Sus scrofa: one gene and its partners. Each later gene encodes a partner of the first gene's protein in a complex. Links are inferred from orthologs where the notes say so. Each region holds a gene or a part of one and is shown on either strand. Other genes may lie near its edges. The genes, in order: MED23, MED20 and MED7.

Region 1 (3,645 bases):
GTTAATAAGAAAATTTCTTTAGCCTAAGTAATTCTTTTACTTCAGGAAATAATTCCTTTGTGTAGTAAAATAAACCTAGTAAATAGTGGCATGGTGTACAATGTGCTATTAAATACAATGTGCTAATTACTTGAAATAAAAATATCAATATAGAATTTCTCACTAAAAAAAAGAAAAAGAAGTTTTATTACTATCTATTAATGCTTTAAAAAATTCAGGTTTTTATTTAAAGCAACAAAATTCTATGTTCTCTGGTGGTGAATAGATGCATGTACTACAAGACTTAGTACATTTATTTAGGAATAGGATATTTTTCTTTGAAATAAATCTCTTCTCTAAGGTCTTTTTTCTTTTTTTAGGGCTGCATCCACAGCATATGGAGGTTCCCAGGCTAGGGGTCTAATTGGACCCGTAGCGCTGGCCTACATCATAGCCACAACAACGCAAGATTCGAGCTGTGTCTATAACCTATACCATAGCTCACGGCAACACCGGATCCTTGACCCACTGAGCGAGGCCAGGGATCGAATCCTCCTCGTTCTCATGGCTAATGGTCAGATTCGTTTCCGCTGAGCCATGAAGGCGGAAATATAAATTTTTAAATATAAATTTTTTTAAATATAAATTTTAGTGGAGTAAATTTCTACCTACATGGCATGCTGCTACTAATTTAAGATTTCAAAACCTTTACAGAAGCAAAAATTAAAACATAAAACATTAAAAAACCTGAAGTCTTGGAACATATAAAAAGACAACATATGTTCACACATATCGACATACAGTTATTTCTGCAGAGACTGGAAAAGCACAATAAAAAGGATATTATCTACTAGTCTGCCAATCAATTTGCAATAGTAGGAGTCATCGGGGACCCAGGGATTGTCTTCTCGTGCGTTCATAGCACATTTCAGGTAAGTGTCACTTAGACACCAGCCCTGTGGTCGGTTATCCTTGAGCGACCCAATGATTGCATGGACAAGTTTTCGTTTGAGACTTTCACGATTTCTCAGGTGCATTTCATAATAGTGCAGAGTATTATACAAATAAGTTACTGGACGATCTGCCAAGAAGAAAAGAGGTCACTACAATGTTTACCTGGTTACTGACAACTGTGAAAAAATAACCTTCTATTTTTAAGATTACCAATAAATAGCTCAGAAGGTTATGAAAACTACTTCACATGTTGGCCAAGTGCATACAATGAATGTTTTTATCCTAGGACAAGGCAAAAGGCTTCTAACAATATACAGAGCTTATATTGAAGGATATTTATCACATTCTGAGGTCACAATTCCACTTCTGGAAATTTACTCTGCAAAAAATGTCATAAATGTAAGCAATGTCGCTGAAGCCCTGCTTATACCAGCAAAAGATCAAAACAGCCTAAAGAGTGAAAAACAGTGGACAGGTTAACTTAATTACCGCATATAAGAAGCAGCTTTGTATGTACTGATACAAATTTATCAACCCCAATACATTAGAAAGGTTAGAAAGGTTAAAAAAAAAAAAAGGTGCAGAACAATGTGTAGTATTACATATTTGTGGGAAAAAGACTACCAACCTCACAATATTTATGGTACGATACACAAGAAAGTGGTAACAGAAATTGCTTATAGAGAAAGAAACTGCTGAACTAGAGCACAGGCTTGGGACTAACTACTTTACACTTCATTATGTGCATATATTATCCGATCCAAAAGAAAAGTATTTTTATTTTTAAAATTTTTTTTCTTTTTAGGGCTGTACCCACAGCATACGGAAATTCACAGGCTAGGGGTCACATTGGAGCTGTAGATGCAGGCCTACACCACAGCAACGCTGGATCGTTAACCCACTGAGCAAGGCCAAGGATTGAACCTGCATCCTCATGGATGCTATTCAGATTTGTTTCCGCTGAGCCACGAAAGGAACTCCAGAGAAGTGTTTTTAAAAGACTGCTCCCTTGAACTTCATACTTACTCTACAGTGCTAAAACATAATTCAGATTTGTTTTGGAGGAAGACTTCTTACACCAAGGATTAAGAAGAACTACCCCCCAAATAAACACTCTGTCCCCATAGTGGCTACTCCAAGACTTCCACACTCTGTCACTGATTTCACTATTCTCCAGTTATCAAGCTTAAAACATCATAGAGCTGTCTTTGCTTTCTTTTGATATTCCCCCCATAACTGGTCAATCAAGCCCAATTCTTACTTCCTTGACTATCTGTCCCTTCTTTCTCATTCAAGGCCATCATACTTGTTTAGATGCTAATACAACTGAATGTCTTGTTATAAGTCTTTAAAATGACTTCCTCCTTCCAAGTTGTCCATATTGGAATTACAACTGACTAGATTTATCTTTCTAAAATAATACTATGACATGACTTAACTCAGTAACTTCTAGTTAATGCTTGATTATCTTTAGGTTATAAAATCAGAACTTCTGAGCCTGGCATTTACGGTGATCTGCCATCAGGTACAATTTAGCCCAACGAGACGACTGTTTTCAAAATGCCTTGTTTTTAACATCTCCATGATTCTTCCAAAAGATTTTTTCTGCCTAGTATGTTCTCTTCTCCTTCCTATTTATATAAATCCCATACATCATAGTTCAAACCCTAACCATCCAAGAAGCCCACTAAGATCTATTTAGTTCACAGTAACACCAGTCTGTTCTGAACTTATTTTTTTTCCTTCTGTACTGATTTGGAAATTAATCACACAATATATACAACAAGGCTTCTCTTGCATATTACTTTTTTTTTTTTTTTGCTCTGATCTGTTGATATTTTTATGTCATTTATTTTACATTTCATGGCATCATCACACATACCTCCTCTCAAAACACTTATATTAAAATTATTAAAATAAAACCTTTAGAATCACCATTATCCATTTGGTCATGACCAGCCTACTTTTGTCTACAGGGCTATTAGATGGAATTAAAATTTGAAAAAGCTCACCATGAAATTTATACAAGCCTCCCAGGTGATCTAGTAGAGTCTCCAATGATTTGGATACTGGGAGCAATTCTAAAAATCTGTGGATTACTATATCAAATACTGGAAGGAAGCGGAGACACACATTTCCAAAATAGATGGGCAGGTAGGGAGACTGGATCGGCACAGGAGGATCAACCTGCTCTGCCAGGCCCTCAAAATAGAGCTTCTCCGGATATTTCTGTGGAAATGAGGAAATGGTAAATGTTGAGGCATGTTTTTTTTTTTTTTCTCCTTAAAGGAGCTAAACTTGTCGTTTTTCACAGAATCTGAAACTGTTTGCTGCTACAATAAAATGAAACTTAAGAGTCCTTTTATCCAACAAAAAATCTCTACTGTTTCAAAGATACATTTACATACATAATTCTTTTCATTTTTTAAGTACTCATGTCTACTAAAACTATAGTTTTAATTTATTCTGAACATTACAGATAGCCTCTAGAACCTTGAGAAAGTTAAGAGAGCTAATTCACTTCTATACGGACCAGAGAGAAAACAGTAGAGCTGCAGAGAAAACAGCCAGGTCAATTAGCCAAATACCTACAAGAATGGCTTTAAAAAGGATTAACTGAAGCACTAACTTGAATTAGTACCTTGTGATAATTCATGTGCTTGGTGTGCCAGTCATTCTGTAGCCAGTGCTCTGGGGAATTTTCCTTCACAA
Region 2 (4,360 bases), on another chromosome or scaffold:
GGTTACTGTGTTTTTACTAACTCTCTAACACTTTGAACGAAAGCTGTCCAGCACAGGAGCCACAAGCCATGTGCGACAGAAATGAAAACTTCAACTCTTCAGTTGCACTGCCCACATTTCAATAGCTCAATAGCCACAAGTGGCTAGGAACTGGTGTACCGGACAGTGACATAGAACATTTTCATCAATGAAGAAAGTTCTAAGGATCCTTGGATCAAAGAGAAAGCAAGCCTCAAGTTTCTAATCTTTGAGAGTGAGAGGCAACAAGAATTTAGCCAAAACAATGAGATAAAAAGTTATTTCCAAGATTTCCTTCTATGGAGAGTGCAACTGGCTTCTACTTTAAGTGGTAGGTAATAATTACCAAGCACCAACTATGAGCCAGGCAGTGCCCAAAGCCTTTAGATGAATTAACTTGCATCAGCCCTATAAGACACAGCATAATCATTTCTTCATTACAAATGAGAAAACTACTGAACAGAGAGGTTGAGTAACTGGCACAAGGTCATACTGCTTAATGCAGTGTAGTCAAGTGAGGTGGCTCCGTGTCCATGCTCTTAAATGCTCCACCGAAAGCTTTCCAAGTTCCCACTGTGGTTAAGGATCAGCATTGTCTCTGTGACGGCATGGGTTTGATACTGCCCTGGGGCAGTGGGTTAAGGAACTGACATTCCCACATTTGTGGCACAGCTTACAGCTGTGACTCAGATTCAGTCCCTGGCCTGGGAACTTCCATATGCCTCGAGTGCAGCTGAAAGAGGAAAAAAAAAAAAAAGAATGCTTTCCTAAGGATACAGTTGTCTGTTAAAATACTTATAAGGAAAAAAACAGAATCAAAAGAAAGCATTAGGAGTTCCTGTCGTGGCGCAGTGGTTAACGAATCCGACTAGGAACCATGAGGTTGTGGGTTCGATCCCTGCCCTTGCTCAGTGGGTTAAGGATCCTGTGTTGCCGTGAGCTGTGGCGTAGGCCAGCGGCTACAGATCTGATTAGACCCCTAGCCTGGGAACCTCCATATGCTGCGGGAGCGGCCCAAGAAATGGCAAAAAGAAAAAAAAAATTAAAAAAAAATAAATAGTTCAAGTGCTATGAAGTTATATAAAAATCATAAAGACAATCATTATGTGGCTGAATTTTGGGAGGTACTGCATTACTTTATGACCAATTATGATCAACTAAAGGAAAATATAAAAACAGACCCCTGCTGTTGCTACAAATTGTCAGTAATCTCCATCAGGAAGAGCACTAACAAGCCACAATGATGATGGCCTTTATTTTGAAAAATAAGAGAATCCCTTAGATGATACAACTGGGGTCCAAAGTACTAGGAATCTGAAAAGTCGAGAAGGGTCCCAACAGAGGGCCTTTTCCCTCTGTCTGCCTTCTGCACTGAAGGAACAGGGGCTTCGGAGTTCTGCTCGTGGCTCAGCGGGTTAAGAATGTGACCAGTATCCATGAGGATATGGGTTCGATCACCTAGCCTCGCTCAGTGGGTTAAGGATCTGGCGGTGCCATGAGCTGTAGTGTAGGTTGCAGATGCAGCTCGGATCTGGCATTGCTGTGGCACAGGCTGGCAGCCACAGCTCTGATTCAACCTCTAGCCTGGGAACTTCCATGTGACACAGGAACGGCCCTAAAAAGAAAAAAAGAAGAAGAAAAAAAAAAAGCTGTAGGAACAGCCCTAAAAAGAAAAAAAGAAAAAAGAAAACAAAAACAAAAACAAAAACAACAACAGGGGCCTCACAGCAGAAACTGACACAATGTTGTAAATCAACTATATTTTAATTTAAAAAAGAAAAGAAAAAAACAACAGGGGCTTCCAGGATTCCATGCCTCTGCGGAGGAAACTTTTCATCTCCATTCTTCACATCCTCCTTACACTAAAAGACTTCCAAAGAGGCTCATGATGTCAACTGCAGGAAGCAAATGTGCAGTCACTGACAAGTGTGCAAGACTTGGGTGACTGGGAGGAAGAATTCCCACAGGCTCTTTTCTTATATGAAGACTCTATAGCCACTGACTCCTGATACCCTGGCCTCTAGCCCTCTCTGATTGGAAAGATGCTCCAGATACCTTTTTTTTTTTTTTTCTTTTAAGCCCTGAAATCTAGCATTTTGGAACTAATGCCTCCAAGAGCATGAGGCCCATATTTCCCTGCACTCTGACTCATAACACGTTACAGATATTAAGTCCACAGAAACTAAACCAAGCATGTAATTAAACATAGTAGGAAACAGGTTCTGAGGAGGTGATGTGCCTAACATCCCAATCTCCTAACTCCCAATAGCTTCTTTTTTTCCCCCTCTAGACCCGAGATCTTAAAATGGCCAAATTAGAACTAGACACAGGCTGGTCTAACTGCATTTAGTGGCCATAGGGAAGGGCAAAAACCTAAAAAAGATACTGCCTTCAATGTTGTCTATCTCCCTCCCCACAACCCATCCAACCTTGACTGCAGATGGGTCCTAAACCCGACATACTATTTCCGACCCCAGGCAGTACTGTGGGATGACGAGCAGGAAGAATATACCAAGAAAAACGGAAGGAGGTACGCGACCACTGGTGGATTCTTAAGATAAAAATTTTTAACCTGCCACCTTTGAGAAAGAAGGGGCGCATCTCCGAGGAAAAAGGCCCGCAGATTTCGCAGCCCTCACAGTGGTCCCCTCACCCACACAACTCGAGGGCATCTCTCTCAGACCCTGATCCCGATCCTCCTCTCGGGGACACTGGAGGCTCCACCGGCCCTTCACCACCCCAAGCTTCGCCCCACGAAATCCCTTGAAGTCCTACCAAGTCACTCCCATGATGTTAGGCCAGGAAGATGACAGTACTGAACAGCTGATACGCAGTGCTCTGCTGCAGCCCACGCGAGGTGAAACCACCGACCTAACGAAAGCTTCGGTAGTAGGAGGTGCTCCGGAAATAACGTAAAAAGTGCGAGTCCCTTCGGCGGCCACGAGGAACGGGGCGTACAGGCGCCTCCAGTGACGTCACTGCAGGGCTCCGCCCCCTAGGCTTGCAGCTCGGGGACTTCCTATTCGACAAATCACCCCGGGCCTAGATTCATGAAGCTAAGAAAGCGTGGCTTGGACTGCCACTGCTTAGAGAAGGCGATGTTAATTGCAATGAGTTTATTCGGGAGTCCAGCTCCAGGACTCAGGAGCTCTATCAGGGGGTGGGGCGGGGATGGTGGCAGGTCCGGCCTCCGAACACCAGGGGGCGCTGTAATCACCGTCTGGCCTCTGGGGAGTTCCCTGCGCCGGCGCACTCAGAGCTTTTCCTCTGTCCCCACATGTGAAACTTCCCGGCGAGGTTTTCTAGCGAAATGCCCAAACTCAAGGCCGCCCGCGGGGCCGAGGGTCAGGAAAAGCATGCGCCCCTGGCCGACCAAATCCTGGCTGGGAATGCGGTGCGGGCGGGGACCCGGGAAAAGCGGCGGGGTCGCGGAACCGGAGAAGAGGAGGAGGAGTACGTGGGGCCTCGGCTGACCCGACGGATTTTGCAACAAGCGCGGCAGCAGCAAGAGGAGCTCGAGGCTGAGCATGGGACCGGGGACAGGCCGGCGGCACCTCAAGATCGCACCACGCGGCTGGGTGAGTAGCGAGAGTGGGTGCGAGAAAGAGGATGGGTAGTTGGTAGTGGTAGGCTGAAAAGTGTCCGGCAGGATAATAGTTTGGAATTAAAAAAAAAAAAAAAAACCCAGGGGGGCGTATTACACTCTAGCAAAGGTAATGGAATGGGAGACCCAGCCCTGGCCGGATTTAGGGTGGCTGGAGACCTTCACCTAAAAGTTGAGAGTTAAGTTTTATTTGGAGCAAAATTAGGACCTAGGCCCGGGAGACAGAATCTCAGGTAGCACGGAGGAAACCGGTGCGAGGAGGGGAGCTAGGATATGAGGCAGGTAGTGTTGCCAAAACTCTGTCTCTGTCCTCCGATGCCCAGTTGAAGCACAGAGACAGGGTTTTGGGTGAAGAAGAAAAAGATATCTCTATTGCTCTGCCAAAGGAGGGCCAGAGCAGGTTAGTGCCCTAAAGACTATGGTCCCCTTGAGAGAGATTAGGAGATGGTTTTACAGTGTAAGAGTGGAAAATAGAGCCGCAGTTAAGGACCAGGGTCGAGGCAAACTTGCACGGTTTCTCACGCTCCTGTTTAGTGGCCCCAGGACTGGTTCTGGTGGTCCTCCTTTTTTCCACTGAAGAATGCTTCATACTTCATCAAGTAATAGTTCTGCAGAAGGGCTCAAAGATACTATGTATATTCCTTGAGGAGGAATCTGGACCTGCCCCAAGGTTGCACTATTGTCTCTGTTTTTTGTTTTTTTTTTTTTTTGCTTTTTAGGACCGCACCTGTGGCATAT
Region 3 (4,333 bases), on another chromosome or scaffold:
GGTCCCTGCCCTTGCTCAGTGGGTTAAGGATCCAGCGTTGCCGTGAGCTGTGGTGTAGGTTGCAGACGCAGCTCGGATCCCAAGTTGTTGTGGCTGTGGCATAGGCCAGCAGCTGTAGCTCTCATTCAGCCCCTAGCCTGTGAACCTCCATGTGCCACAAGTGTGGCCCTAAAAAGTCAAAAAGCCAAAAAACGAAAACAAAAAAAAAGTGAACATATTTCTTCAACAAATAAATTGATGTGTGTGGGGGGGGGGACTGAAATGGAGGAAGGAAACTATAGATTAAAAGATAATAGAAAGAGGAGTTCCCATTGTGGCTCAGCAGTTAATGAACCTGACTAGCATCTGTGAGGATGAAAGTTTGATCCCTGATCTTGCCCAGTGGGTTAAGGATCCAGCTTTGCCCTGAGCTCTGGTGTAGTTCACAGACGTGGCTTGGATCTTGCATTGCTGTGGCTGTGGTCTAGGTCAGCAGCTACAGTTCCAATTAGACCCCTAGCCTGGGAACCTCCATATGCCCTGGAGTGTGGCCCTAAAAAGCCAAAAAAAAAAAAAAAAAAAAAAAGATAATAAAAAGATACATCAGCTAGTCACAAAAGACTTCATTGCATCTTCAGACATTTGGTATTTTCATACTGATTTCATTGATGAAACTAAATCAAGTTATTAACTTATTTTTAAATGAGACAGTGGTTCTGTGGTTCAATGAAAACAACAATAAAACCCCCAAACAAGTCTTTATCTTTCAGAAATGCATACTGAACTGAAATAATGTCTATAGGTAGATAATTATTGAAATTGAAAGTAGAGACTATTCTCTACTTCTATATATGTTTGGAACGCTTCATAGTAAGTTTTAAAAACTGGAATAAAAAAATCTTTTTTTTTTTTTTTTTTTTTTTTTTGTCTTTCTGTCTTTTTAGGGCTGCACCCACTGCATATGGAGGTTTCCAGGCTAGGAGTCCAATTGGAGCTGTAGCTGCCAGCGTAAGCCAGGGCCACAGCAAGGCGGGATCCGAGCCGTGTCTTGGTAGCATGCTTTTTTGTAAGATTCCCACAAATTTAGAAATGTGTAGCACTTCTTGAAAGTCGCCTCCAGAAGAAACTCTTACATATCGTTTTGTTTTATGCTTGTTAATTTGTTGCCTGGAAATGTAACAGAATCTGAATACGTGAATAAAACTGAATGGACGGTGAAGAAATATAAATTAAGAATATGTTGCTTCCCAACCATTTTCACACATATTTCGAGATTAAGATTTCCATGTTCCAAATTATTTCCAGCATGTGGAGTCCAATCTCATTTCTTAAGGTTATTTTTAAAATTATTTATTTATGTATTTATTTAAATGTTGTTTTTGACAGTGGGGTAACATTTTTTTAAATGTAACGTTTAAAAATAGCTGCTTGTCTCTATTTTTTAAAGTTTATGTAAGGCATATGGATGCTTTAATTTTAAGCGTTAAAAAAAAACAGCAAAAAAAGAAACGACGCTACCACGTGCCACTGCTACTGATAGAAAAAGCACAAGAAAAGACTCCAACACCCCAAACCCTGCGGCTGCCGCCAAATCGCGGAAAGAGCGGGGAGAGAGGAGGTTATGCGCAGGCGCAATAGCGAGCCATCGGTCTGAGGCGGGACTAGAGCCTGGGTTAAAGGACAGCTCTTTCCGCCAGTCAAGAGACAGCACCAGTAGCTTCTTCCGGGAAGAGGAGGCCGGAAGTTGGACTTCGGCTGTGGTGGCGAAGGCGGTTACCAGTGTAAACCCAGTACCGAGGTGAGTGGGCGGCGACGACTTGGGGCTCGGTTCCGTCCGCTGCATTTCTCCTTCCGGACCCCGCCGCTTCCTCCCGGCGGGCTGGGAGTGGTGGGAGGCTTGGCGCATAGTGTGCTCGCCCACCTTCCTCTCCCGCGCCCTTCGGGGAGCGCGGCCTCCCCGACCCCCGCGGAGCCGCCGGGTAGAGCGCCTGGAGGAAGGTGCTCTCCGCGCAGTGGGCTGCGGGCTGCTTCCGAGTCGGGATCTCGAGCTGCGCCGGAGGTCCGGGGAGCTGAGTTCCAGTCGTGTGCCGCTGGTTTGTGTAGCCTCTGCAAGTCTCTTGGCCCCTCCGGCTTTATGAGATAACCAACCCTCCCTCGGGGATCAGTCCTCTAATCACATGAAATAGTGGGAGGCTGGGAAGGAGGTAGAACTATAGCCTCATCATCAGATCATCCAGAGAGGTTTTGAAGGCAGCTTTTAAGCGTCCCCCTTCACAGTAGAGAAGTGAGCAAAACCTCTGGGACTGGCACCCTGGAATACCTTTCTGTTTTAGTTAAGTCCTCCAAAACGAAACAGACACTGAAAGGTGGATCTTCAATCTGATCACCACCTGTGATGCCTGGCGCTGGTTTTACCAGAGACTTCCATCGCTTTTGACAAGTTCAGCTGAGAGAAGTGATGGAGAGAGAAACATAATTTCTGTAGTATATCAAGTTTTTTTTGTATTGTTAGGCTCTTGGTACTTCACTGATTTGAGAGAGCTTGATGGTGCAACAAAAAGGACCTAGATAAGAATTCCTGCTCTGCCATTTATTAGCTTTTTGATCTGGTTGCAGACACTCCCTCTCAATGAGACAGACTTGTAATTATCAGCTCTAAAATGAAATCGATAGTGGTATTAAACTCACAGAAATATTACGAAGCTTAAGTAAGGGAGGGTATAAAACAGTGATACTGGAGTTCCCGTCGTGGCGCAGCGGAGAGGAATCCGACCTGGAACCATGAGGTTGCGGGTTCGACTCCTGGCCCACTCAGTGGGTTAAGGATTTGGCCTTGTGGTGAGCCGTGGCATTGGCCGCCAGCGGTAGCTCGGAATTGACCCCTAGCCTGCTTCTGAAATTGGGAAACCTGCTTCTAAAATTGAGACGGCCACTCTGAGGGCACCGAGAGGAAGGGGAGTGTTCTGGGAGCCCCAGGTCCGGGATCCAGGGCCCACTGCATGGAAGGTGTTCTGATGTTTGTTGAATGATGGAATAGTTGAAATCTTAATAGTCTGTTAGATGGGAAGGATCCTTTTTAAAATTTGCTTTTAACGGTGCATTAGTCTGAATGTTTTCAAGCTTTTATTCACATTTCCATTTTCTTTGTCATCTTTTGCCTGTTTTTCTATTAATTTTTAAAAATATAGGTTAAAAACAACCACAACTCATTGAATCTTTATTGAGGATTTAGCACCTTCTAGGCATTGCTTGAAATACTGGAGGTACATTTTTGAATAAGACAGACAGTTCCTGAAGTCGTAGTGCTTTTCTTCTTGTGGGGATGGAGTCAGTAAAAAAATCAAAATTAAATTCCTAGTATTTGTCCTTTGTTAGCTTGCAAGCATTCTTCTCCCAGAAAAATGGGATTGTTTTTTAATTTCGTTTATGATATACTTTTCTATATGGTTTTTAGATTTGTTTTTGGTAGTCAGATCTGTTGGTCTTTTGTAGCACCCTTAAGCCGTGTAGTTATCTGTTGTCCATTTTCCTTGATAGATTTTTAAGCAACGCTAGGATGGAGGCAGTGTTTCTTAAGAGAGAGAATGGTGTAGTGTTTGACATTCTCAGACTCTGGATCCTTCCTTTACTCTGTGACTTTATAGAAGTGGGTCAACCTTTCTGAGCCACAGTGGTCTCATCTCCAAATTGGAAAGAGCACTTTTCTTTTCTTAGATTTCTCATAACCATGAGAAAAGTAATTAAGAACAGTGTCTGGCACATAGTATACACTACAAATATTATCTGTCATAATCATCATTATCATATATTAGACAAACAGTAAATGTTTGAAGGAATAAATGCATGTTAAAGATGTTTGTACCTACTTCCAAATTTCCACTGGTTTGGAACCCTTTTGAAATGAATGGAGCTACCAGCAAATATTTATGAAGCTTTTGTGCGCAATTGACACAGTGAGAGCTGTGATAGTTATAGTCCTTCCCCTTGTAGCTTATAGTCTGACTGGGGCAACAAATCAGATTCTGGTACAGAGAGTAAAAGAGGAAAGGAAGAATCTGTTTTTGATGAATAATCAGAGAAGTAATATCTTTAGAGGTGACAATTTTAAGCTAGTGCCTGAAGCAGGAAGAAAATCATATGGAAAGACCCAAAGGCAGGAGAGGTTGGTGTAAAGAATTGTATAAGAATACTGGAAAACATTTTTTCTAGGATAGAAGGGAAAAGGAATGTGGTGTGAGAGTTGGGTTGACTGGTATATAGAGAAGAATAGTAACGAATATGAAATAATCCCTGGTGAAGCCATTGTGTTCCAGGTAAGAGGGAATGGTGTCTTGGTCAAAACTGATGAATTCGT

What was found.
Region 2: MED23 (region 1) and MED20 share a complex: the UniProt entries of both Homo sapiens proteins name them as parts of the mediator complex. The link is inferred for Sus scrofa from reciprocal best matches to the Homo sapiens genes MED23 and MED20.
Region 3: MED23 (region 1) and MED7 share a complex: the UniProt entries of both Homo sapiens proteins name them as parts of the mediator complex. The link is inferred for Sus scrofa from reciprocal best matches to the Homo sapiens genes MED23 and MED7.

The regions. Positions count from the first base shown.
Region 1 is NC_010443.5:31,991,064-31,994,708, reverse strand, and holds part of MED23 (mediator of RNA polymerase II transcription subunit 23), read right to left. Parts: coding exon 3,575-3,645; intron 3,163-3,574; coding exon 2,946-3,162; intron 1,061-2,945; coding exon 824-1,060; intron 1-823. UniProt on the Homo sapiens protein: Required for transcriptional activation subsequent to the assembly of the pre-initiation complex. Component of the Mediator complex, a coactivator involved in the regulated transcription of nearly all RNA polymerase II-dependent genes.
Region 2 is NC_010449.5:37,071,214-37,075,573, forward strand, and holds the start of MED20 (mediator of RNA polymerase II transcription subunit 20), read right to left. Parts: upstream 2,938-4,360; 5' UTR 2,808-2,937; coding exon 2,794-2,807; intron 1-2,793. UniProt on the Homo sapiens protein: Component of the Mediator complex, a coactivator involved in the regulated transcription of nearly all RNA polymerase II-dependent genes.
Region 3 is NC_010458.4:66,113,099-66,117,431, forward strand, and holds the start of MED7 (mediator of RNA polymerase II transcription subunit 7), read left to right. Parts: upstream 1-1,497; 5' UTR 1,498-1,777; exon of another isoform or gene 1,778-2,072; intron 2,073-4,333. UniProt on the Homo sapiens protein: Component of the Mediator complex, a coactivator involved in the regulated transcription of nearly all RNA polymerase II-dependent genes.